Linked DNA regions of Stegostoma tigrinum. The protein of the gene in region 2 purifies or fractionates together with the protein of the main gene of each other region. This does not show direct contact. Links are inferred from orthologs where the notes say so. Each region holds a gene or a part of one and is shown on either strand. Other genes may lie near its edges. The genes, in order: growth arrest and DNA damage-inducible protein GADD45 alpha-like, map3k4 and growth arrest and DNA damage-inducible protein GADD45 beta-like.

Evidence for each region.
Region 1: the proteins of map3k4 (region 2) and growth arrest and DNA damage-inducible protein GADD45 alpha-like purify together in Homo sapiens (co-immunoprecipitation; 3 studies listed by BioGRID and IntAct, with this or other methods). This does not show direct contact. The link is inferred for Stegostoma tigrinum from reciprocal best matches to the Homo sapiens genes MAP3K4 and GADD45A.
Region 3: the proteins of map3k4 (region 2) and growth arrest and DNA damage-inducible protein GADD45 beta-like purify together in Homo sapiens (co-immunoprecipitation; 3 studies listed by BioGRID and IntAct, counting the BioPlex papers as one, with this or other methods). This does not show direct contact. The link is inferred for Stegostoma tigrinum from reciprocal best matches to the Homo sapiens genes MAP3K4 and GADD45B.

The regions. Positions count from the first base shown.
Region 1 is NC_081361.1:51,755,982-51,763,702, reverse strand, and holds growth arrest and DNA damage-inducible protein GADD45 alpha-like, read right to left. Parts: upstream 3,112-7,721; 5' UTR 2,980-3,111; coding exon 2,939-2,979; intron 2,638-2,938; coding exon 2,536-2,637; intron 2,444-2,535; coding exon 2,230-2,443; intron 2,142-2,229; exon of another isoform or gene 1,857-2,141; intron 1,798-1,856; coding exon 1,687-1,797; 3' UTR 1,030-1,686; downstream 1-1,029. UniProt on the Homo sapiens protein: In T-cells, functions as a regulator of p38 MAPKs by inhibiting p88 phosphorylation and activity.
Region 2 is NC_081362.1:25,393,155-25,401,700, reverse strand, and holds the start of map3k4 (mitogen-activated protein kinase kinase kinase 4), read left to right. Parts: upstream 1-5,009; 5' UTR 5,010-5,239; coding exon 5,240-5,277; exon of another isoform or gene 5,278-5,439; intron 5,440-5,505; exon of another isoform or gene 5,506-5,620; intron 5,621-8,546. UniProt on the Homo sapiens protein: Component of a protein kinase signal transduction cascade. Activates the CSBP2, P38 and JNK MAPK pathways, but not the ERK pathway. Specifically phosphorylates and activates MAP2K4 and MAP2K6.
Region 3 is NC_081383.1:7,331,282-7,339,584, reverse strand, and holds growth arrest and DNA damage-inducible protein GADD45 beta-like, read right to left. Parts: upstream 3,387-8,303; 5' UTR 3,204-3,386; coding exon 3,160-3,203; intron 3,002-3,159; coding exon 2,900-3,001; intron 2,748-2,899; coding exon 2,534-2,747; intron 2,200-2,533; coding exon 2,086-2,199; 3' UTR 1,207-2,085; downstream 1-1,206.

The DNA.
Region 1 (7,721 bases), on a different chromosome or scaffold from region 2:
GCTATCTGGTTGCACTGCCATCTCCTCCTATGCACCTTATTTGCCAAATTCTTTAGTGTTAGGTTAAACGCCCTTGAGTATACTGTCTGCTCTGCTTCCCCCTTGAAGAGGTGCTGACTGGCTTTTGACTGTGCAAGCCACCTTTTGAATAGTGCTAAGCATGCATAAATTTGAATCCCTTGTTGCGGTGTCCAGCCTGTCTCTGAGAACCGTGGTACAGTTATTTAAGTGGGCATGAAGAAGGGAATAATAGTTGGAAAATTCTGCATTGGAAAATCCTAGAAACATTCTGGCCATGCAGTTTCAATGGAAAGCCATAGATACATTTGTTCAGATTGGTGATCTTTTGTCAGGGTTCTGATGAAAGATAATTAATCTGAAATGTGAATTGTACTTTCCTCTCCAAAAATGCCATTTGAACACTAAGCATATTTTTATCCTCAACTGACCTAGACACAAGCAATTCCAGTGGTGGTTACTCAATGATCAAAATGAAGACACAGGCTGATTTTTTTTTTCCATCTCTATTCCAGTGGTTCTTTGTAAAACTGGAAGAGGAGTTGCTACAATTGAGCACAGTCAGTTAACTCTCATAGACTAAGTTGAACATGCAATTGCTGTTACAATTATTTGCAATCTTGACAATAGTAGGAAATATTCAGGATGTATAGCTGTTGGATGTTGTGTGTTGTATATGTGTAGTAGGATATCAAATTGCCAAAATAGTCACTAAATAATAAACTACTGCACTGATATGTTACTGCATTTTGTTTTGATCACAAGTTCGGCTGAGTTCTGAACTCACCTGTCAAGAGCACTGGTGCAATTTTAACACTGCTCATCTGTACAAACTGACAGAAGGAATAAAATGTGACTTAAAATACTGACAATATACCCCAATTAAACAGGCTGAAATCAGTCCATTGGCAATTCCATTGTATTGTATTGCAAACTGTTTCCAATTAAAACAATTCAGTAATATACAAATTAAAATTATCTATAACAGACTAGAACATTAAATAGCTAGTGAATAAAAGTAATAATATTTATTAATGGATTTAGAAATTATAGTCAATTCTTTCACAAATATAAATAATCGTCAATTTATATAAATTGTGAAATAACTTGTCATTTCATATTTAGACAAAACAGCAAAAAAGGTTTTTGTAATAAAGTACAATTTTGTAAGTAAGTACAGTAAAAATCCTTAACTTATTCGGTTTTGGTTTTTTAAACTTCCCCTCAGCTCCGTGACATCGTGTAATTAGTCAGCAATACTGCATTTTCACAACAAAATTCAAACACTTCTGTTATCCATTCGATGAGTCTGTCAAAACACAAGTTTTTTTTTAAAGTTCTAGTTCCCGAAATGGAAGCTGTAATTCCCGCAATTCTTCCGGCAGTTCTATTACTCTCAGCTATGAAATCAGTTCCAACCCTTGCTTCGGTTCCCGTCTGCTTAGTCATTGTCACTATTTCCAGGCACAACTCAAGTTGAGTCATAGTCCAGCGTTCAGAGAAAATAATTACAGACAATCGAAAGTCCAGTCTAGCCTGCTCTCAGCAACAAATAAAAACTCTAATTTTCCAGCGCCAAGTTTTCGGACAGCTACTGAGAATATCTCCTGAGCAATTCCTGAGAAACAAAAGCGAATCTTAAATCCAGGGTCTGTGATTTAAAATTGATCACCGCTCGGGCAGGTTGATGATTGGAACCCACTGGTCCAAGTAACGACTTTCTTTGCAGAAACAGCTGACTTTGCTCAACGCTGCGTCTTTCCATGGTGCAACTTGACTCTGAATTGAAGACAAATAAAATCATCCTTATGGAACAAAATATTTTAAAAAGTGCATCATTTAATTCTCACCGCCCCCTTCTTTCCAAAATACTGTACTTGTAATCTCAAATCATGATGTTAGCTATTCTCTAACTTATGCCATCTATTGGTGCAAAAAGACATTACGTCAACCACGACCACATTTACATCCAATCACAACAATCAGTTGAGTATCGGTATATACAGTTTCGTCTGCTTCTAGGGGTCCAATTGTCAACTTGCAATAACCTAGACTGATTTCAGTCACCGTCTGTAACTCGTTTCATACTGTCTACAAATAACTTTATTTAAATCCTCACAAAGGTAAGATTTCTGTCATTGTTTAAAACTGATGACGGTTTTACGCCTCGGTTATTGGATTCGTTCCTGGTGTGACTAGTATAATACTTACAGTGATCAATATGCAATGGAGATCTTTGGGTTCGCCTGCCCCATCAATCCCGCCCAAGATCTCTGCTAGACGGTGCATGTTGTTCACTCTCATTATGTTAATATCGTTTTCGCAGCAAAAAGCTTGGATCAGAGTAAAATGAATTTGTAAAGCCACATCCAGATCATCCCCTTCATCCGTCGCAAGCAAGCATAAAACAACGTTGTCAGGGTCCCTGTCGAAAAGTATAAATAAAATCCGTCCGTTTTTAAACTGATTTTTTAAAAAGTAAAAATGTGAAAACTTTGGTTCTTGGTGGATACTTACGCGTTGAGGAGTTTTGCTGCTTCGTACACTCCAACTGTGATGCAGCCTTGCGCCAGCGCGGAGCTCAAAACTTCTTCCAAAGCTTTTCTCACTACGTCCATCCTACCACCCGCATCAGAAGTTTTAAAAAAAACAGTATTAATTCCTTCATCAATAACAACAACAGGATCTAACTCCAGAGATTAACAATTCTGCGTTATGGTTGTGTCAAATGAATGCAAATGTATGTGCTTCATCTCACAAAAAATTCTACTATGACAGGAAGATTAAACTTCTTTTAACCGACGCACAACGCAAACCAAGAATCTGCACCGCACGCTCAATCAAACACTGTTTCACTTTTTAAAAAAAAGATAGGGTTTATTTAAAGTGCAATCGGTGCGCTTTATAGCATTGCTTTTACCTGTCTGCTTTCTGATCGCCTGTAAGTTCTTCAAAAGTCATTCTGTTTGTCGGTGTGAATGAGTTTCTCAGGTTGCTACAGCTTTCTCTGCCTGCAATTGACAGTGCCTTGCGTGCGCTAGTGGGCTCGATCCAGCTCAATGCAGCGGCTGCTGTCAGCTCCGGCACTGAGAAGGCTCGCGGCGTTGAAGGCGGAGTTACAGCCAGGGGGCCGGATGTAACAAGGGAAAGCCAACCAACCCAGTGCTCGCTTATTTGCATGGGCGCTCCGCCATTGGTCGTTGTCCTTTATGCTAATAAGGACTTTGCTTTCACCCTGACCCGCTGGGGACAAAGGGTCAGCCCTGGGGGAGGTGGGTTTTGTGGTGGGGGGGAGGGTTGGAGCGGATACCGAAGCGTGTCTGTCTCGCAGCTCACTGGGGCGGTCGACACATCAATCAATGCTCATTCCTCATTTCGGTATCCATGTTTGGAAATTGTAGGATTGCCCGACGAAATTATTCATAGAAGCAAAAGCCTTAATTCTTTGTTTAACGTCAAACGTGATATTTAAAAAAAAGTCCACTATGTGTAGATACAGTAAACAAACCTCCACTGCAACGTCTATCACCAAGGACAAGGGCAACAATGTTAAGGGAACGCCAACACTTCCACATTCAGTTCCAAATCACGTCATCTGTAATTGCGCGTTGATAGTCATTCCTTCATCATTGCTGGTTCAATATCTTGGAATTTCCTACGCTTTAAATGTAGTCAGTTGACTGTAAAACACTTGGGACATTCTAAGGTTGTGAAAGACACCAAGTAAACACAAGCTTCACTCGTCGTCTCCATCTCAGGCAATCAGCTTGTAACTGATGTCCATTTCAAGCCCACTGACTCCCACAGCTACCTAGGATACACCTCCTCCCACCCACCCTCCTGCAAAAATTCCATCCCCTATTCCCAATTCCTCCGCCTCCGCCGCATCTGCTCTCACGATGAGGCATTCCACTCCCGCACATCCCAGACGTCCAAGTTCTTCAAGAGCCGCAACTTTCCCCCCACAGTGGTCGAGAACGCCCTTGACCACGTCTCCCGCATTTCCCGCAACACATCCCTCACACCCCGCCCCTGCCACAACCGCCCAAAGAGGATCCCCCTCGTTCTCACACACCACCCCACCAACCTCCGTATACGACGCATCATCCTCCGACACCTCCGCCATCTACAATCTGACACCACCACCCAAGACATTTTTCCATCCCCACCCTTGTCTGCTTTCTGGAGAGACCACTCTCTCCGTGACTCCCTTGTTAGCTCCACACTGCCCTCCAACCCCACCACACCCAGCACCTTCCCCTGCAACCGCAGGAAATGCTACACTTGCCCCCACACCTCCTCCCTCACCCCTATCCCAGGCCCTAAGATGACTTTCCATATTAAGCAGAGGTTCACCTGCACATCTGCCAATGTGGTATACTGTATCCATTGTACCCGGTGTGGCTTCCTCTACATTGGGGAAACCAAGCGGAGGCTTGGGGACCTCCGCTCGGTTCACAGTAAACAACTGCACCTCCCAGTCGCTAACCATTTCAACTCCCCCTCTCATTCTTTAGATGACATGTCCATCATGGGCCTCCTGCAGTGCCACAATGATGCCACCCGAAGGTTGCAGGAACAGCAACTCATATTCCGCTTGGGAACCTTGCAGCCCAATGGTATCAATGTGGACTTCATCAGCTTCAAAATCTCCCCCTGCCCCACTGCATCCCAAAACCAGCCCAGCTCGTCCCCTCCCCTCACTGCATCACACAACCAGCGCAGCTCATCCCCTCCCCCTACTGCATCCCAAAACCAGTCCAGCCTGTCTCTGCCTCCCTAACCTGTTCTTCCTCTCACCCATCCCTTCCTCCCACCCCAAGCCGCACCTCTGTTTCCTACCAATTAACCTCATCCCACCTCCTTGACCTGTCCGTCTTCCCTGGACTGACTTATCCCCTCCCTACCTACCCACCTATACTCTCCTCTCCACCTATCTTCTTTTCTCAATCTTCGATCCACCTCCCCCTCTCTCCCTATTTATTCCAGAACCCTCACCCCATCCCCCTCTCTGATGAAGGGTCTCGGCCCGAAACGTCAGCTTTTGTGCTCCTGAGATGCTGCTTGGCCTGCTGTGTTCATCCAGCTTCACACTTTATTATCTTGGATTCTCCAGCATCTGCAGTTCCCATTATCTCTCTTCACTCGTTGTGCCCTGATTGGAACACTCAGTGTCATTATCATCAAGCAGACTGACCACCAGGGTCAGTAATGTGGAAATTAAACATGTTCCTGCCTGTATCACTGCTGTTTCAAGAGCATATTTTAAGAACATATGTAACTGTTGACAAGAATGTGAGCATATATATTTCAAGTCTGCATAATCATCTCAGTACAGGTGTAGAGCTGTAATACAAATATCAGTTACAAATAATGCATATTCAATTATTGCAATATATTAAAATTTCATTATCAATTCTACTCCACGTAAAGTAATAAGTACAAGCCTAATCAGTTCATTTTACAAAGGAGCATGCATTCAGGTTTCATCTTTTCCATCAAATCAGAATGTGCCAAAGCATTTTGGAGCGCAACCTAGGCGCAATGTCGGGTATTGCAGCAGCCAAACTGCACTCATGAATGTCTCATTAATAGCAGTGCAATTAATGAACAAATGATCTGTTTTAGCAATGTAAATTGAGACACGATGGGCAGGTGCCCATGTGGACTGGGGTGGACAAAGTCAGAAGTTTCACGACAACAAGTTATGGCCCAACAGGCTTATTTTCAATTACAAATTTTCAGTATGCTGCTCCTTTGTCAGTCCACTATTGACTCTGTATCCATCACTCTAACATCAATGTAATTCAAATCCAAATCAATTGTGCAAAGAAATGTTTCCTCATGTTGCCTCCGAATTTTTGTCAATCATCCTAAGTCTGTACCCTTTGATTACAGACCTTCCAGCCAATCGAATTAGTTTCCGGGTCTCTCTCTGCTAACATATCCATTTAATTGTGCTATTTAGCATCTCTCTTCTCATTTTTTCGACCATAATGTATCATCTCATTGCTTTCTGCATTGAATTGTATCTGTCACAAGTCTATCCCATTGAATTCTACTATTATCTTAACATTTATAATTCTTCTAAGTTTTGTGACATTTTCAAATTTCAAAGTTACATGCTATAACTTTAAATCAAAGTCACTAATAAATATTAACAAAATAGTGACCTTAAATACAGAATCTTTGGAAAAGTACTGTATACCTCATTTCAATCTAAAATACCGCCATTTATTTTAGGTGGATTGGCCATGCTAATTTGCTGATCGTGTCCATGGATTTTCAGACTGGGTGGATTAGCCATGGGAAATGCAGGGTTACAGGGATGGCAACCACCTACAAATTGATGTCCATTTCAAGCCCACTGACTCCCATAGCTACCTGGAATACACCTCCTCCCACCCACTTCCCTGCAAAAATTCCATCCCCTGTTCCCCATTCCTTCGCCTTCGCCGCATCTGCTCCCAGGATGAGGCATTTCACTCCCGCTCATCCCAGATGTCCTCGTTCTTCAAAGGCCTCTACTTACCCCTGCAGTGCTCGAGAACGCCCTCGACCGTGTCTCCTGCATATCCCGCACCTCGTCTCTCACACCCTGCCCTCGTAATAACCACCCAAAGAGAATCCCCCTAGTCCTCACATACCACCTCACCAACTTCCGCATACAACGCATCATCCTCTGACACTTCCGCCATCTACAATCCGACCCCACCACCAAAGGCATTTTTCCCACCCCACCCTTGGCTGCCCTCTGGAGAGACCACTCTCTCCGCAACTCCCTTGTCCGCTCCACACTCCCCTCCAATCCCACCACACCTGGCATTTTCCCCTGCAACCACAGGAAGTGCTACACCTGCACCCACACCACCTCCCTCAATCCCATCCCAGGCCCCAAGATGACTTTCCATATCAAGCAGAGGTTCACCTGCACATCTGCCAATGTGGTACATTGTCTCCACTGTACCCGGTGTGGCTTCCTCTACATTGGGGAAACCAAGCGGAGGCTTGGGGACCGCTTTGCAGAACACCTACGCTCGGTTCGCAGAAAACAACTGCACCTCCCAGTCGCGAACCATTTCAGCTCCCCTTCCCATTCCTTAGACGACATGTCCATCCTGGGCCTCCTGCAGTGCCATAATGATGCCACCTGTAGGTTGCAGAAACAGCAACTCATTTTCCACTAGGGAACCCTGCAGCCCAATGGTATCAATGTGGATTTCACCAGCTTCAAAAATCTCCCCTCCCCCCACTGCATCCTAAAACCAGCCCAGCTCATCTCCGCCTGCCTAACCTGTTCTTCCTCTCACCTATAACCTCCTCCCATCTCAAGCCACACCTCCATTTCCTACCTACTAACCTCATCTCGCCCCGTTGACCTGTCCGTCCTCCCCGGACTGACCTGTCCCCTCCCTACCTCCCCACCCGTACTCTCCTCTGCACCTATCCTCTCCTCTATCTATCTTCAGTCTGCTCCCCCTTGTTCCCTACTTATTCCAGAACCCTCACCCCATCCCCCTTTTCTGATGAAGGGCCTAGGCCGGAAATGTCAGCTTTTGTGCTCCTGAGATGCTGCTTTCCTGCTGTGTTATCTTACAGGGATAGGGTGGTGGGCAGAGTTTGGATGAGATGTTCTTTAGAGGGTGGTGTGACTTTGATGGGCTGAATGGCTTGCTACCACACGCTAGAGATTCTGTGATTCT
Region 2 (8,546 bases):
CCCTTGGATTCTTGGGCTGAACTCCAGCGCTTACCGATTGCACAGTTCCAGCTCTTTTTCAAGCAAAGATAACAAGGTGTAGAGCTGGATCAACACAGCAGGCCAGGCAGCATCAGAACAACAGGCAAGCTGACATTTCAGATCTGGACCCTTGTTCAGAAATCATTTCTGATTCTCCAGCACTGGCAGTTCCTACTATCTCCTTTTCAGGCAGCTTGCTTTGGTAAGTCGGCACTGATCCCATGTTTCTCCAAACCTCAATTTTTCAGCAAGTACTGCTCATTGGTTTCCTTTGCTCTCTTCTCAGCTATCGAATTTCCCATGCAGCTTCAATGAGCTGCCCGCTCAACAAAACCAACTGCAGCACTTTAACCTTTTGAAGCCACCTTCTTTTGTTGCTCCTCTCTCTCCAACACAGGCTCTGTGGCTTTCCACTATCTTCTTAGCTCCTCAACACCTCTTCCAAGTCCTAACTGCCTGGAGACTGCTAACAACTGCACATTAGGCTACCTCCCACAACTCCTAAGTTTCTGAATGATTAGCAGCCTGAAGGTAGCAAAAGCCTTCCCCTTTAACTTCGTCTGGCCAAATAAATGGGTCCCCGACTTCCTTTTGCATGCTCCTCAGTCCTATGGTCCCTTTGTTATATCAGTTTCCACAATGCAGGTGCATTGTTCCCTTTATGACCAGATTCTTTACTGGACAAAAAGATCAGCAGATCAAGTGAAATCTGTCATGCTGCTGCTCTGTGCATGAATTAGAACTCATGGCCTACTGGGATATGGAGATTGACTTCTATTTTTCTCCAGTCCTGTGCGGGGCTTCTGCAAAACCTGGCAGAACCTCAAACATTTAATGCTGCTGTTCAGAACAGTCGTCCTCCTCATTGCTGGCTTGAGACAGCATTTGCATCCCAAGCTGTCTATGAGAGGGGTCTATTCTACACAGAGCAGAATTTGGACAAGGCTGCGCTCTGACAGGAACCTCCATTGTTAAATACATCTTCACCATCTGTTCCACTCATCTGTTGTGTTGATTCATCCTCTGTTAAACCAATTAACTTTGATTGCACCAAGTAGTGTGTACAAGAGCTGACAGAAGGTGCATACATTGCACTATGGTTCATAAATAGTGTGAAGTATCTCCTCCTGAGTAAATAGAACATAGAACATTACAGCACAGTACAGGGCCTTCGGCCCTCAATGTTGCCGACCTGTCATACCAATCTGAAGCCCATCTAACCTACACTATTCCATGTATGTCCATATGCTTATCCAATGATGACTTAAATGTACCTAAAGCTGGCGAATCTATTACCGTTGCAGGCAAAGCGTTCCATTCTGTGAGAGATGGAAAACTTGAATCAGAACTGACAAGGTGACTGGCTGTTATCTTAGTCAATGAGTGAGTGAATGTTGTTGCCATGTAGCAGTGTAATGTATAATTCTGTCACCAGGTAACTTGGAAACCCTCCCCTCTTCATATCCTATGATCAGCAATGCTGGGAGTTGACTTATTAACAATATCTTCTCCTCCTCTAGAGCTGTCAAGATGGAATTAACTGTACACACATGCCTGATTTTCTGCCTCTCCCAGATATTCTGTGCTCTCTTCTGAAAATGAGGAAGAACAGACTGATGAATGAGAAATGAAATGCTGAGGTGATGAATGGTCTACTTCTATGCCAATTTTGTGTTTTTGTAGATCCAGGTCAATATTTATCCCTCAGTCATCATCACAAAAAACAGATTACCTACTCATTATTGCATTACTGTCTTTGGGAGATGATGTGTATAAATGGGCTGCTATATTTCCCACATTACCCTACAAGTTAAATATTCAAAAGGATGGTTATGTTGAGCAAGCAGATAGGGTTAAAATCAAGCCTGCTAATTGGTTTGGTTATTTGGCTTGGGATTGTGGGTTGTTACATCTAAATGAACAACAAGAAACAATTTATATTAATAAATGTGAATTGTTCTGAAGACTCTACGTTAATTTTGTTTCTCTTGTGGATGCTACCAGACATGCCAAGGTTCTCCAACATTCTCTGTTGTTTGAGATTTCCAGCATCTGCAGTACTATGCTTTTATTACAGTAATATGTCGGCTTTAGGAACATTGGGACAGACATAGGGAATTTAGCCCCTTAAGCCTGTTTCAGCATTCAACCGGTTTATTGCTGATTCACGATATAACACCTGTGGAGAGACAAAAGAAAAATAGCAGACATTGACGTCTTTGTCCAGAGAATCTAGCAACTGCATTGTATAGTCTAAGTCAAGAGGCTATGAAAGGTAAACATTTGGTTTTGTTATTGTAGACAATGCCTCCTTACAATGGTGAAATTATTATATTCTTATCTGTAGCAAAATAAATCTTCCTTACAATAATGATCAATTCTTGAACATTTATGGTTGCCCAACCCAGCTAATTTCTGCTCTCCAGCAAGGCATGGAGCTTGTTGAAGGGTCTGAAAAACATTGGCTTTGGGCTTCTCATCTTTTACTGAAGGAAATTGCTATTCATCCAGGAGTGAATGGTGAATGTGCAATGTGACAATAGAGAGGGCTTGATACAGTTGGTGGTGAGATAGAGCTGGATAAGCCTCCATGAATTAGATCTATCATGAATCATTTGTTAAGCTTCATTTTAACATTTAAAGACATGGCTGTGATTATCCATTTTCATTTAATTTTGTTTCAATTCTCTACTTTGAGTTTGCTGCTTTCAAAACTTCATACTTTGCATACTTATTAACAGGCCTGCATTTTCCTAGTTATCTCTCAACTTTTTTCGAACGTGCCCATCACATTGCTTACATGAGTGTCAACAGGACAATGCATTTTCAGTTACTTTAAATCCAAAAGTTTTCAGACAGCAATGAAATGTTCCATAAGGATGCTTTTCTTCTCCAGAACTGACCACATGGGAGTTTCTGTTCCTGGAGCCATAGACTGAGAAAAACACAAAAGTCTAAACAAAACTGTATGGCTCTGCTTCAAAATGATCATTCCTTCACAGGAAGGATGAATCGACGATGGATGAGGGCAGCATGGTTGTAAAGTGGTTAAGCACTGCTGTCTCACAGCACCAGGAACCTGGGTTTGAGTCCAGCTTTGGGTGATTATTTGTATGGAGTTTGCATGTCCTCCTCTTGTCTGCATGGGTTTCTGCCGGGTGCTCTGGTTTCCGCCCACAGTCCAAGGACATGCAGATTAGGGGATTGGCCATGCTAAGTTGCACCATTGGCAGCATCCTAGGTGGATTAGTCAGTTTAAATCGAGGGGAAAGAATGCTCTTTGGAAGGTCAGTGCAGACTCACTGGGCCGAATGAACTCTTCCTACACTTTAGGGATTCCATGAGAGTGGCCACAAATATATCCAATCTCCCCGATTTTTTTTCTCTAATTTCGTTATTTGGTGATAAAGAGCAGATAAATTAGTATCTGGCAACCTTCTTTTGTACAAGTCTTTAATAAGTTTTAAGTTTATTTCTATTAGGTTCAGTTAGTCTACATTGATATGGTTGGACACCTCAGTCCATTTAATGCATTCTTGTTTCATGTGCAAAATCTGGGATATTCCTCAGGGTATAGAATGAGATGCCAGAGGAAGTGTTAGAGGCTGGTATGATTACAACATTTAAAAAGCATCTGGATGGGTACATGAATAGGAAGGGTTTAGTGGGATAATGGCCAAATGCTGGCAATGAGACTAGATTTATTTAGGATATCTGCTCAGCATGGACGAGTGGGACCAACGGCTCTGTTTCTGTGCTGTACATCTCTGACTCTATGATTGGATGAACACATCTTCAAGAAGTGTGGTCAGCTGAAGCAGCTCAAGCTCTGGGGTTTCAGAGCTTGAGCAGCAGCTTATTTCTCTGCAGTACATCTGTGAAGTTGGATTGTATGTTGCTGGAATATCACCATCCTGTAGCTTGGGTGGACAGGCAAAGAAGGAATGGTCAGGCGATCGAGTAGGACCAGAGGGCAGACTGCATCTTGCTTTCCAAACAGTATTCAAATCAGAATACTGATGAGAATAATAGTTGATCTGGAGCACAGTCAAGGCCACAGCACCAGAAGTAGCTAGCTCAAGAAAGAAAATTGGGAGCTGATACTGTCAGGGATGTCAAAACGAAATTGAATAGGCACCTAAAGATTTTTTTAAAATGCAGCTCTATAGAAGGGAGGGAGTGTCGTACAGCTGAATGACTTCACTTTGCATCATAACCCATCCTGTTAATTACATATTTATTTTGTACTACCAGACTTTTCTAGCAACACCGTATTCTCCCTCATTCAGAGCTAAGTGAAAACAAAATTGCGCAGCTTTCATTGTACGGGAGGATAGTAACATGTATTTCACTCAGGTTGTATACGAGTGGCTGTAACCGTCGCACTTGGCAGCAAAAAGCTGCAGCTGGTTCTTTCTCACAAGTTGGTGTCTGAATGACCAGCAGAGCCTGACACAGTGACACCAATTACCATATAGAGGAGGATTGCTCTCCACCAGCAAACACCGCCCCCCCCCCAACCCCTTCCATACAAATCAATTCATTTATGAATCATAACCCCTTCGTCTGGAACTTACATGAAATAAATGACAAAAATTGCTGGGAAAACTCAGCAGATCTAGGAACCTCTGTGGTGAGAGGGACGTAAAATTAACGTTTCGAGTCCAGCCACACTTCTTGGGAGGTTAATTACTTTGATTTTTGAAACGGCGGAAGCTTCCCTTCTTGAGGCGATTTACATAAAAACAACTCATGACGGTTGGAAAAAGTAGGCAGCCGATTCGTTTTATTTTTCTGGAAAAGAAAACCGTTGATCTGTTACTTCCCACTCAAATAATTTCAGTGAATTTATATATTAGAGTTGGTATACTTCAGGTCAGGACAATGGAAAATGAAAATAAAGACTTGCGCACACCTGGAGGCAGTGTGTTTTCAGTTGTTGTCTGTCCGTTCTGCTGCCCTCTGCCGGCCGTAGCCGGTTGCCGTAGTTACCACATACCGGTCCCAAGATGGCCGCCCCGGTAGCAGAAAGGCGCCTCAGTGTTGGCTGATGACTCGGTCCTTACAGCTCGCAACCACTGGGCGGACTTCCAGCATTTATTTCTCTCCCCCGCCTCCGGCCTCCAATTAAAAAAAAACTTGCAGCCTTTCTATGTTTTGAAGACGACAGCAACAATAACGCGTCATGGCGTGCACTTTGTATCACTAGACTACCGATATGGAACAGTCCGAGCTGCAGCCGCCTCAAATGCAAAGGTAAAAGGGAGCGATGATTAGCGGGGAACAAGAAGGGCCAAGTGTTTTGTGTACATTTAAGCGAAAGGGGTTTCGAGAGTCAATCGAGACGGGAGGGGTATGTGCAGGGCTGCAGACTGGGCCGCAAGCAGCTTCTGCCAAATAGTGCTTTCACACTTAACGTTGGACCGCAGCCCCCGCGCTTGCGCACAGCGACCCTCAGTGCTTCCTGCCACATTCTGCACAGAGGGCAAAAATTCTGCAGCTTTTAATTTGCACCGTGAAAAGGGGGAAAACTCTGTGCAACATAATTTTAACTTTTTGCATTGTGTAGAAAAGTGAACGAGGTCACCAATGCATACAGGTATTATCGGTATAAGTTTTAGTTAATCGCAGAAAATTGTGGCAAGTAAGCGAGTTTCGTTTGGGAAAATACAATGACAATGGTGGTGGGATTCTGCAGTGAAACAAGAAACGAAATTAGTGCATAGAACTAAATGCTCTGCAACAGCTATGCCGTAGTTCCAGGAAGACATCTAAATCATTGAGCTGGTTGGTAGTGGAAGTGTTACAATACTTAATGAATTCTCCTCGGTCCACTGATAACAAAGGAGTTTAGCGAAAGGTGCATCAAGTCACGCACAATGTGCCCGAAAATGTACGAATGCAGTTCTTTTTATGACAATGTTTGGGGTTTATCAGCACCCAAAAATAACCGTTTGAAGAATAGTTACAGACTCTACTTGCAGAGTGAACTTATGGCTGATTTGGAACTGTATCGGAGTTTCTTAACTGGAGAAAGTCCGGCAGATCCCTCCACCCCCTCTTCACAGAAAACCGTCTCTAGAACTGCGAAGCCATGCTAAGATTTTAAAGCTTTCCGAACCAGAGCCCTTTTGCCCGCCTAATTCTGAGTTACACAGGACTGGGTGCATGGAAAATATTTTTGTTTTTCCACCTTGAGTTAAAAGCCTTAATTGGTAACCTTTAACATTTGTAGTAGTTTTCTTTCATCCCAAAAGCTAGACAGCGACCTGAATGTCTATTGGGCTCTTTTGTGTACCAGGGTTGTTTTGAAACATTTACCCCCACCGTGGAGCATCTAATACAGCAGTAAACAACTTCATTGCGGGGATGGTTTCAAATAAACAGCACGACGGTGGGATGTACGAAATTATCCAAATCTTTAGGGCTTTTACATGCAAGAACCGTAATCTCCTGTTCACTGGAGTCGACGGAGTTGAAAAGAAAGGCAGATTGGGTATTTTGTGGACGTTGTGTGGGTTGCTCGTTTGTTGAGAAATCACCTAGTAACGTAAATTCTGGGAATAAAATTCTAAATTGAATTTTTGAGTGGGAGTTTGCGACAAATGTAATGCCGATTGAGAACAGAATCTGGGAATGATTTTCCTTACAGAATGAATTAATGTGAAAGTACCTTTTTGCAGTATGATTAGCTCACTTTGCTGCTATCCTTGTTTGTCTGGAAACTTGAATAGCAAATTCAGGAGAGCTGTTGTGCCGATCGGATGGCGGAGTTTTTCAAGCTGCGGTTTGAATGTACTTTAAGGGCAGCGCTACATTTTCCGGAATATTTTGTTTTTCTAGGGTGCGGCCGTTTCGTTTGCAATTTAGTACGTCTAAGTAATGTGCTATATGTTTATTCTGGAATTGAGGATGACTGAAATTTGCGGTGCAGCGAGGCTTGTGATTAGCATGATGCGTTATGACTCTAACATTTCTGACCAATTGTTAGCACGCGAAAGGCCAAATTATTTCTAATCGATTAGTTTTCTCAAGTAACACAATGTTGAAATAAATCTTCCCAGGACTTGCCCTGAAATTAACTTCTGCCCTGGAAGAGTGAGATGGGTGTAATTGGTGAGCGGTAACTCATCAAAGTGACAACTTTTGTAACTCTGCCCAAATTCTAGATACGTAGAATTTTCCGTTTTTTTTTCTCAAGACTGGAGTCATTGTCTTCACTCCCTGCCACAGACTCTTCTGTGGCTGAGTCCGTCTTTTTCTGTTTGAGGCTGAACCACTTCGTGTCTCCTCTCATCCTGAGCTGAGTTCCCAACCCCACAGCTGCTTCCCTCAACAAGGCCCTCTGCTGAAACGCTCATCATGTCCTTGTTACCTTAAGTATTAAAGTATTAAAATGCTTCCCTTGCTTGCGTCCTTCATCTTAGCTTCCGTTGAGTCCTGTTCGAGCATCCTCTAAACTCCATTGGCTCCCCTTCCGTGAAGGCCTCAATCTAACATTTTCCCTCTCGTCAAATCCTTACACCGCGATGGCGCTAAACTCTTTCAACTGACTGAAACATATGAGATCCTGAGGCGTCTTGACATGGAGAATGTGGGATACACGTTTTAGAATCTAGAACTAGGGGTCACTATTTCGAAAGACGGGGTTGCCCATTTAAACCATGAGAATTTCTTTTCTCAGTGTGTCTTGAATCCTTGGAACTCTGCCTCCACTTTTTTTGTGGAAAGAGACTGAATATATTTAAAGCAAATGTAGATATTTAATATGCAAAGGGTAAAAAGTTTAGACTGGAATGTGCAGTAATCAGGTCAATAATCCTTTATTTTACTGACTGTCGCAGGCTTGAGGGGTGGAGTGACTCTCTGATTAATGTTTTCTACATCCTTTTGAGATGTTTGCTCTCCTTCAGTTCTGGTTTTATTTTTGTTCCTGATTTTCATGTGCCCCCAACAGTTATGGCTGTTCCTTCAACCACTGTGGGCTCAGATTTTGAATTGATTCTCTACACACTCCATCTCTGTTTACTGCTGAGCTTGTAAGATTTGTGTTTAAACTTAACACTGACCAGGCTTTTAGTCACTTGTTCTGTTATATCTGTAAAATTGTGTTCCATGAGATTCTCATGAAGTGCCTTAGAAATACAAGTTGTTGTTAGACTGGAGTTTGGGAAATGTAGTTTGATGCAGACGGACTGAAATTGTACTAGCTGGAAGCATAATCAGATCACAGTAGATTACCGACTAAAGATCTCCCTGCCCTGCTTCCTGAACCACTTGTCAGCTGAGGTGACTTGGAACTCTATTATGAAAATTCCACATTCATTTGCAAATAAAATGCTAGACTGACCGTTGGATGAATCACCTAGGTATTCTTTTTCAGTTAAGGAATTAGTTTATAATATTACGGTTGTGAACTCCAAGCATTATTTAGTTAATAGCATAATTGTCTGTCTGGGTCCCATCATGTGAAGCCACTCCTTGTCATTATGAAAATGGAAGGACCTTTTTTCTCTCTCCTCATT
Region 3 (8,303 bases), on a different chromosome or scaffold from region 2:
GCACCCCTGCAGTTTGTAAAGAAGATACATTGGGTGACATCTGAGTTGGGGACCTCTGTTATCATGAGCCCCGATCACAGGGCTGAAAAATATTATTCCTCACTGATCCTGCCAACTGGGACTGGTAGTTCAGAGGAAAATCTGAAGTTTGCAAGGTTGCACTCTTACACTGAATTTTCTCTGACCAATAGAATTTCTGCCAAGTTCCACAAAATGTATTTTGAACACTGTCAATTTAAAAGATTGACTCTTTGAATAAGTTAACAATTATCATGCAGGAAAACACATCTATATTCACAGGTACTTGGACTGTGACCCAAAGATTTTCAAAACAGTAGAGCAACATACTTAACATTTACTCCTGGCTCTGCATTGCTCATCAGAAAAATTGCTCACCATCAGTTTTATTTTCACAGTCAAAACAACTGTACAGAAGTGATATTTTAGTGACTGCTTTTTTTCTGCTACAATTTGAAAATACCTTGGAGCCAGCTTTGCATCATGAGTACCTCCTTGAGAAGGCTGTTATTTGTTGAGAGTCCCAAACACCATCACCAATTCCACATCCAAATTGTAACATTAATACATTATAGTTTAGCTTCCCATTGGGAGTTGGCTGAACACAGGAATCATTGAAGTCCAATACATCTGCTTTGTCAATTCAAAAGCAAATACATTTACATGAAGGTGTCTTGATGAATTAGCTGTTCCCACCACCTTTAAACTACAGGATTCTTGTCTATATATTGAAACACCAAGAAGCCCACAACTCCAATCAGGAGTGCATTGGGAAAGTTATAACTGGAATTAAAATGGTCTACAAAATGAAGCCATTAATTCACTTTGCAGGAAGGTGTGAAGCTGCAGTTAAGTCATTGATTTAAATTTTGAATCAAACAGAGCAGCTTTGACAAAAATCTGGCCTCCATTGCCAAAACTACAGTTGTAATTTTCTTGACATGGCTAAAAGTGAAAATCTGATTAATTTTGCGTATCCAAAGGTCAAACGGCAGACTGAAACAGTAAAAGCTTGGTGTTTTTTTTTGATGATCAAACTCTAAACCAGGCATGTACAATCCTGAGCTGTTAATTAGCTTTTCAAAGTGTTGTTTGCTGCCAACTATTAAGAAAAAAAATCAAGTATTTCATCCCACTTCTCCAAAGCAGTGGATGTTATGACAAGGAGAAAAAAGTCAGACGAGTATATACTTTTAAATGTTAAAATATTTATTGTAATGTAATAGAAATGAGGTTTTTTTACATAAATCAAGAAAAAAGAGAGGAAATCACAACGTTATAAATAAGACGCTGAAAAATACTACATTTCAGATCAATAGTTTAGAATTAAATTGCACGATGCCCGTTACATAACATTGGGGTTCTATGCAAAACATCCCAGTATTGAAGCTAAGTGCAACAGTCCAATTAACATTTGCTGCAAATCCCCTTGGTGTACAAAGGAAACAGTACAGGTAACTCGTGTGGGGGGGAGCTAGCTCCCTTTAAGAAATGCAAACAGCTCCAAAATGCAGTTCCAGTGCAAGCTCGCACGTTCCGCCTGCAGTAGGACGCGGATAAAAGACTCCATCAGTCATGGAGAGGGGGCGAGGCCGGCCGGCCAACCACTGTTTAAAACAAAACCGTCCATCTATCCTCCACACCAGGATTATAGTCCTGTTGTACTCTAGTCTTCACAGATCCTTTCTTCCACTTTCTGCATCAGTCCAGTCTATTATCAAAAAAAATCTAGATACAAAAGAGCCCTGCTTCGAAAATCTCTCCTTCATTCCATTTCCAAATCGGGTTTCGACACCTCCAGTCCAGCTCCTCCTCTGCAGCTGTCTTCTCGGTTCCGGGAGCGGATTGCAATCCACTCGCCGCTCTAAAAAACAGCCAAGTTTCCGCCGGGTATGCCGTCTTCTTTACCTTTTCTCTCTTTTTAAAAAATAAAACAAAAAAATGCCTTTGCAAACATGATTTTTCCTCATCCACCCGCATCTTTTTGTAGAAGAAAACGGCATACATTTCTCATTTAATTAAAGACGCTTCTTCTCAGCTTCCTTTTCTTCAGCTGGTTTGAAACCTTCAGCGTTCTTGCAGGGACACGGTAGGAACCCACTGGTTCTTGTTTCTACTTTCCTCGCAATAGCTTCCGACTTCCTCCAACGCCTCACATTTCCAAACATCAGTATGAGAGTTCTGGAAATAGAACGAAAAAAAACCCGATTAAACATCGCGTCAGCGACAACAGCACGTCAATTCCAGTCAGTTGTACCCGCCCAAACGCTGTCGTTTCGTTTTACGACAAATTGCAAGATTAACCCCTGAAATGCCAGAATCGACTAAATACCATTGTAACAATTTGAAGAAAGATTAGCAATCTGATCCGGATTGATGCCGTTAGAGATCTCGGATGCACAAGTTATTTACTATTACAATGTTTAAGTCGGAGAGATATTAATAGTGTCTACACCGTAGATTTTTGCAGCGCACTGTAGCTCGGGGATGGAGGGAAGAAACAGGCTATTCTTACCGTAACTAGCATGCAGTGCATGTCCCGGGGTTCAGCAGTCTCGTCCCCAGACTCCAGAAGTTCTTCCAAGCGCTTGACTCCCCGCAACCGCACGATGTTTATGTCGTTCTCGCAGCAGAAAGCCTGGATCAGGGTGAAATGGATCTGCAAGGCGATGTCGCCTTCATCTTCCTCATCGGCCGCCAGCAGACACAGGACTACACTGTCCGGGTCACTGCATATGGGACAGGAGTAGAACGGGCGATTAGAATCACGATGCACAACAAAAATCTGAAAGTCAATGGATGCTAAATCGCAGTTTTTAAGTTGTTGTTCGCAACTAGTTCCAGTTGTTATGAAGGTTAAAAAAAACCGTTCAATACTTACACATTCATTAACTTCGCCGACTCGTAAACCCCAACAGTTAGGTAGCCCTGGCGTTGTGCTGTCACCAACAATTTTTCTAAAGCTTGATCAATTGGCTGCATTCTGGATAGAGATGAAAATATATATACTTACAACATATTCATTTTAAAAAATAGAGTCTGCAAACTACATAACCTACGGATATAGATTATCTATACGCGATCCTTTCCGCTTGATCTCATTAAGACCAACTACAAACGATCGATTTTCTAGCAACTTACTTTTTGCTAGTGTTGTCAGTTCCAGTAATATCTTCCAGAGTCATGTTGTTGTAATTAAATCCAAGGTAAAAAACACAGCCCTCGGGTTCAAGACTCCAGTGATAAGTCTCCTTCGCTGTAACGTTCTACCACTGACTGTAACAATCCTCCAAAGCTCGAGATCCGCATTCAAACGACACTGCACTCTATTCTCTGCTTCGTTCTGCGACTCTTCGGCGGCGTTCACTGCTTTTAAAAGGTTACATGCCGCCCACCGGCTCATCTGCATACGGCTCTCGCGATTGGCTCTTCCGACCGGCGATTAATATTAAACGTCCTCCACAGGGGAGCCCAGATGGCGTATTTTCTGGGAATTTTCTTGTTTCTCTCCCTTCGTATTTTTTTCTCCCTCTCGATGACTCAGTTTCGCGTGCTACAAGGCATTATGAAGCTGCCAGTCGTGTCCGTATTGGAATGAATCTTCTAGAATAAAACCACACAGTTGCAATGTAAAATTAGATAATGATAATGCTGAGCTGTCTGGTAGTTCCCATCCAAGAGCCCTGATACTATTTATTAGTCACACAGCCGCATTCATCGCCAACTTAATGCAATTCAAAACTTTTTTTTGCATTTAATATTTGAGCTAAAACATCTTGTCTGCAAATTGTCATAATTGCCTCAAATTGTTCGAAGTTAATTGCAAGCTCTTGGCGAAAAAGGTTGAGACATTAACAAGCTTCATAAGTTTGCATCAATTTGCATTTTTAAGAATGTCATTTTATTGAGCGAGATCAAAATCTGAAGTTTTGTGCAGCACACTGTCTTGCAGGTTTCGAGTGTGGATTGCAGGTGACACTAAATATTAAATCTTGTGTAACGGCTGTTATAAACTGCCCTGGTTGGTGCACCAGGAAATGTAATATGCTTCGCTGTTCTAAATTTCAAAACATAACTAAATGTACTTTACTTCTTAATAGTACACTCAGTCCGAGATTAAAAGCAAATAGAACCAGTTGGAAATAGAATCTGTTTCTCTTCTCTCTAGTTTCCGACGGGGAATATTTCGCGTACGTAACAAGTTTTCCAGTTGAGTGGAAACTCCGCCTGCCAACCGCCGAGCGCATAAACAAATCATATACTACACAAGCAATAATTTATCTGCAGCAGCTAAATGCACTTTCCAAAAGTGAACAGATATAAAATAAACGGGAAAATTAGGAAATGCTTTGCAAAGTCACTGTGTACAGCCGTAGCCTTCGTTTCTGGGAAGTTTTGCAATGAGCCTGATTGTTTACGGGTATCCTTTGGCACCTAGGGCAGTCTGTGATTAAGGAAAAACATATCTGCCACTAAATTTGTTGGAAAATTAGATGCAATCAACATCTTCGTTGTATTCGTGACTGTATCTATTCTTCGAATCTATTCATTTGCAGAGATCTGGTATGTTCACATGTAACGTTCAGTCGTATGTTAACATGTTGAAACTCATAGGATTGGTGCTTTGTGAAATTACAGACAACCTCAGAAATGGTTGGAATTCCAAACAATGCACCTTCCTTGGCCTCTCCACACCCCGAAAGTCGTTAAGAAAAACGAACACAGCTTGTAAACAAAATCAGAAATAAATATACGTACAATGGGCAACCTTAAAACTAATCAAAGGGCGCCGTCTGGCGAGCTTGTTGCCTGCTACTCCCTCTGACATGAGTTCACTGGTTCCACCTGGCGTTCAACTGAAGGAAAACGAATAACTTGCACCATACAAATTGTAACTTTCCAACATCATGTTATTTAGGGGCAGAGATAATGTGAACTGCAGATGCTGGAGAATCCAAGACAACAGTGTGAAGCTGGATGAACACAGCAGGCCAAGCAGCATCTCAGGAGCACAAAAGCTGACGAGTTCATCCAGCTTCACACATGTTATTTAGGGGCAGCGTTTTGCCAGTTCGAAGACCAATTCACATTATAAGGTTTCAAAATAAATGAATATACTTAAAGTAACGATGACTTGAAATGCAACATTTCAAAAGTTAATGCTTCCTACATTACAACGGTGATTACGCTTCATAAGTACTTCATTGGTTGTAAACTGATTTGAGAGGTCCACAGGTGATGAAAGATACTTTGTCAATGAAGGGAGGACTCTAGTGATGTAGTGGTAGTTCTCCAACTCTGAGCTTCAAAATCTCCCCTTCCCCCACCGCATCCCAAAACCAGCCCTGTTCGTCCCCTCCCCCCACTGCACCACACAACCAGCCCAGCTCTTCCCCTCCACCCACTGCATCCCAAAACCAGTCCAACCTGTCTCTGCCTCCATAACCTGTTCTTCCTCTCACCCATCCCTTCCTCCCACCTCAAGCCGCACCTCCATCTCCTACCTAATAACCTCATCCCACCTCCTTGACTTGTCCGTCTTCCCTGGACTGACCTATCCCCTCCCTATCTCCCCACCTATACTCTCCTCTCCACCTATCTTCTTTTCTCTCCATCTTCGGTCCGCCTCCCCCTCTCTCCCTATTTATTCCAGAACCCTCACCCCATCCCACTCTCTGATGAAGGGTCTAGGCCCGAAACGTCAGCTTTTGTGCTCCTGAGATGCTGCTTGGCCTGCTGTGTTCATCCAGCCTCACATTTTGTTATCTGAGCCAAAAGAGTTCAGATCTGACCTGCTCCAAAAGTGTGTCGATAACATGTCAGAACATGTCTGAACAAGTTGATTAAAAATATCTATCAGGTGAAGTGACGAAGAAGCCAGAAAACTTGAAATAAAGCTGTCGGACGAAAACCTGGTGTCATGTGACTTCTGACCTTCTCCATCCCAGTCCAACACCGGGACCTGCACATCATGTTAACCGATTGGAGTGGGCCCTCTCTTCCACTTTCATCTTTCACCTCTTTATCCAATTTGTTCTGTAATTTATCAGTCCAGGTAGAAGCTTCAAAACGATTCTTTCTTTCATCAGTTATTGCCATATAAACACAAAACACATTGATAATGTACCTCTCCATCATTGGTTCAGAATGTCACACTGCAATGTCGGGTTCCTGAGGGTGTGCCCTCACTGCTCCACCTGGTGGTAATGTTCACGATAACGCAGCCATCGAAGATTCACGTAATTTTACTGTGTTGAAGGAAGCTATTAGGCCCATTATGTCTACTCGGCTATCCAAACAAGTGATTCCCGTAGTGTTATTCTTTGGTCATCTCGCTGTAACCTTGTGTTTCTTCTTTTTCAGATTACAGTCTTATTCATTTTTGAATGCTTCTACCTCATTCTCAGGCAATAAATTCCAGCTTAACTGTTTGAAGAAGACCTTCATGTCACTTTTGATTCTTTGCTAATTATTTTAAATCTTTTATTCTCTTTCATTTCTTCAGTGGGAACAACTTCTCTCTGTTTGCAGTGTCTCAAACCCTCATGATTTTCAATACCTCTATCAAATCTCCTCTCAGTCTTTTAGGAAAACTGAACCAACCTCTCCAATCAGTTTTCACCACTGAATTTATGTATTCTTAGAACCATCCTCCTGAATCTTTTCTACCCACAATCTCCAATGCGGTCATATCCTTCATAAAGTGCACTGCTAAGAACTCAGTGATAATGGGAACTGCAGATGCTGGAGAATCCAAGATAACAAAGTGTGGAGCTGGATGAACACAGCAGGCCAAGTAGCATCTCAGGAGCACAAAAGCTGACGTTTCGGGCCTAGACCCTTCATCAGAGAGGGGGATGGGGTGAGGGTTCTGGAATAAATAGGGAGAGAGGGGGAGGCGGACCAAAGATGGAGAGAAAACAAGATAGGTAGAGAGGAGAGTATAGGTGAGGAGGTAGGGAGGGGATAGGTCAGTCCAGGGAAGATGGACAGGTCAAGGAGGCGGGATGAGGTGGTAGGTAGGAAATGGAGGTTCGGCTTGAGGTGGGAGTAAAGGATGGGTGAGAGGAAGAACAGGTTAGGGAAGTAGAGACAGGTTAGACTGGTTTTGGGATGCGGTGGGGGGAGGGGATGAGCTGGCTTGGTTGTGTGGTGCAGTGGGGGGAGGGGAAGAACTGGGCTGGTTTTGGGATGCAGTGGGGAAAGGGGAGATTTTGAAGCTTGTGAAGTCCACATTGATACCATTGGGGTGCAGGGTTCCCAAGCGGAATATGAGTTGCTGTTCCTGCAACCTTCGCGTGGCATCATTGTGGTACTGCAGGAGGCCCATGATGGACATGTCATCTAAAGAATGGGAGGGGGAGTTGAAATGGTTTGCGACTGGGAGGTGCAGTTGTGTGTTGTGAACCGAGCGGAGGTGTTCTGCAAAGCGGTCCCCAAGCCTCCGCTTGGTTTCCCCAATGTAGAGGAAGCCACACCGGGTGCAATGGATACAATATACCACATTGGCAGATGTGCAGGTGAACATCTGTTTGATATGGAAGGTCACCTTGGGGCCTGGGATAGGGGTGAGGGAGGAGGTGTGGGGGCAAGTGTAGCACTTCCTGCGGTTGCAGGGGAAGGTGCCGGGTGTGGTGGGGTTGGAGGGGAGTGTGGAGCGGACAAGGGAGTAGCGGAGAGAGTGCTCTCTCCGGAAGGCAGACAAGGGTGGGGATGGAAAAATGTCTTGGGTGGTGGGTTCGGATTGTAGATGGCGGAAGTGTCGGAGGATGATACGTTGTATCCGGAGGTTGGTGGGGTGGTATGTGAGAATGAGGGGGATTCTCTGGGAGTGGTAGTGGCGGGGGCGGGGTGTGAGGGATGTGTTGTGGGAAATGCGGGAGACGCGGTCAAGGGCGTTCTCGACCACTGCGGGGGGAAAGTTGTGGATCTTTCTTTTACTTTGCATCTGTTGGCCTTTGCCAACATGGCACTAAAGTAAAAGGTGATGTTGCTATAGTCCTACTCTCACATTAGATAGAGATGACTGGTGAAGATCACCATATTTCAGGAAGGTGAAAGTTGAGAAGACAATCCTTCATTGTAACCACAGCCAGTACAGGAATTGAACTCATGCTGTTGGTATCAAACTGCATCAGAAACAAGCTGTCCAGCCAACTGAGCTAACCAATCCCTTTAATATAGCACTAATAGCAATGTGAAGTCAATGTTTTGAGAATTTTGATACAAATTAATTTTCTTTGAAGGCAGTCAAATCATACAATTCAGATTGTGAATCCAGCACT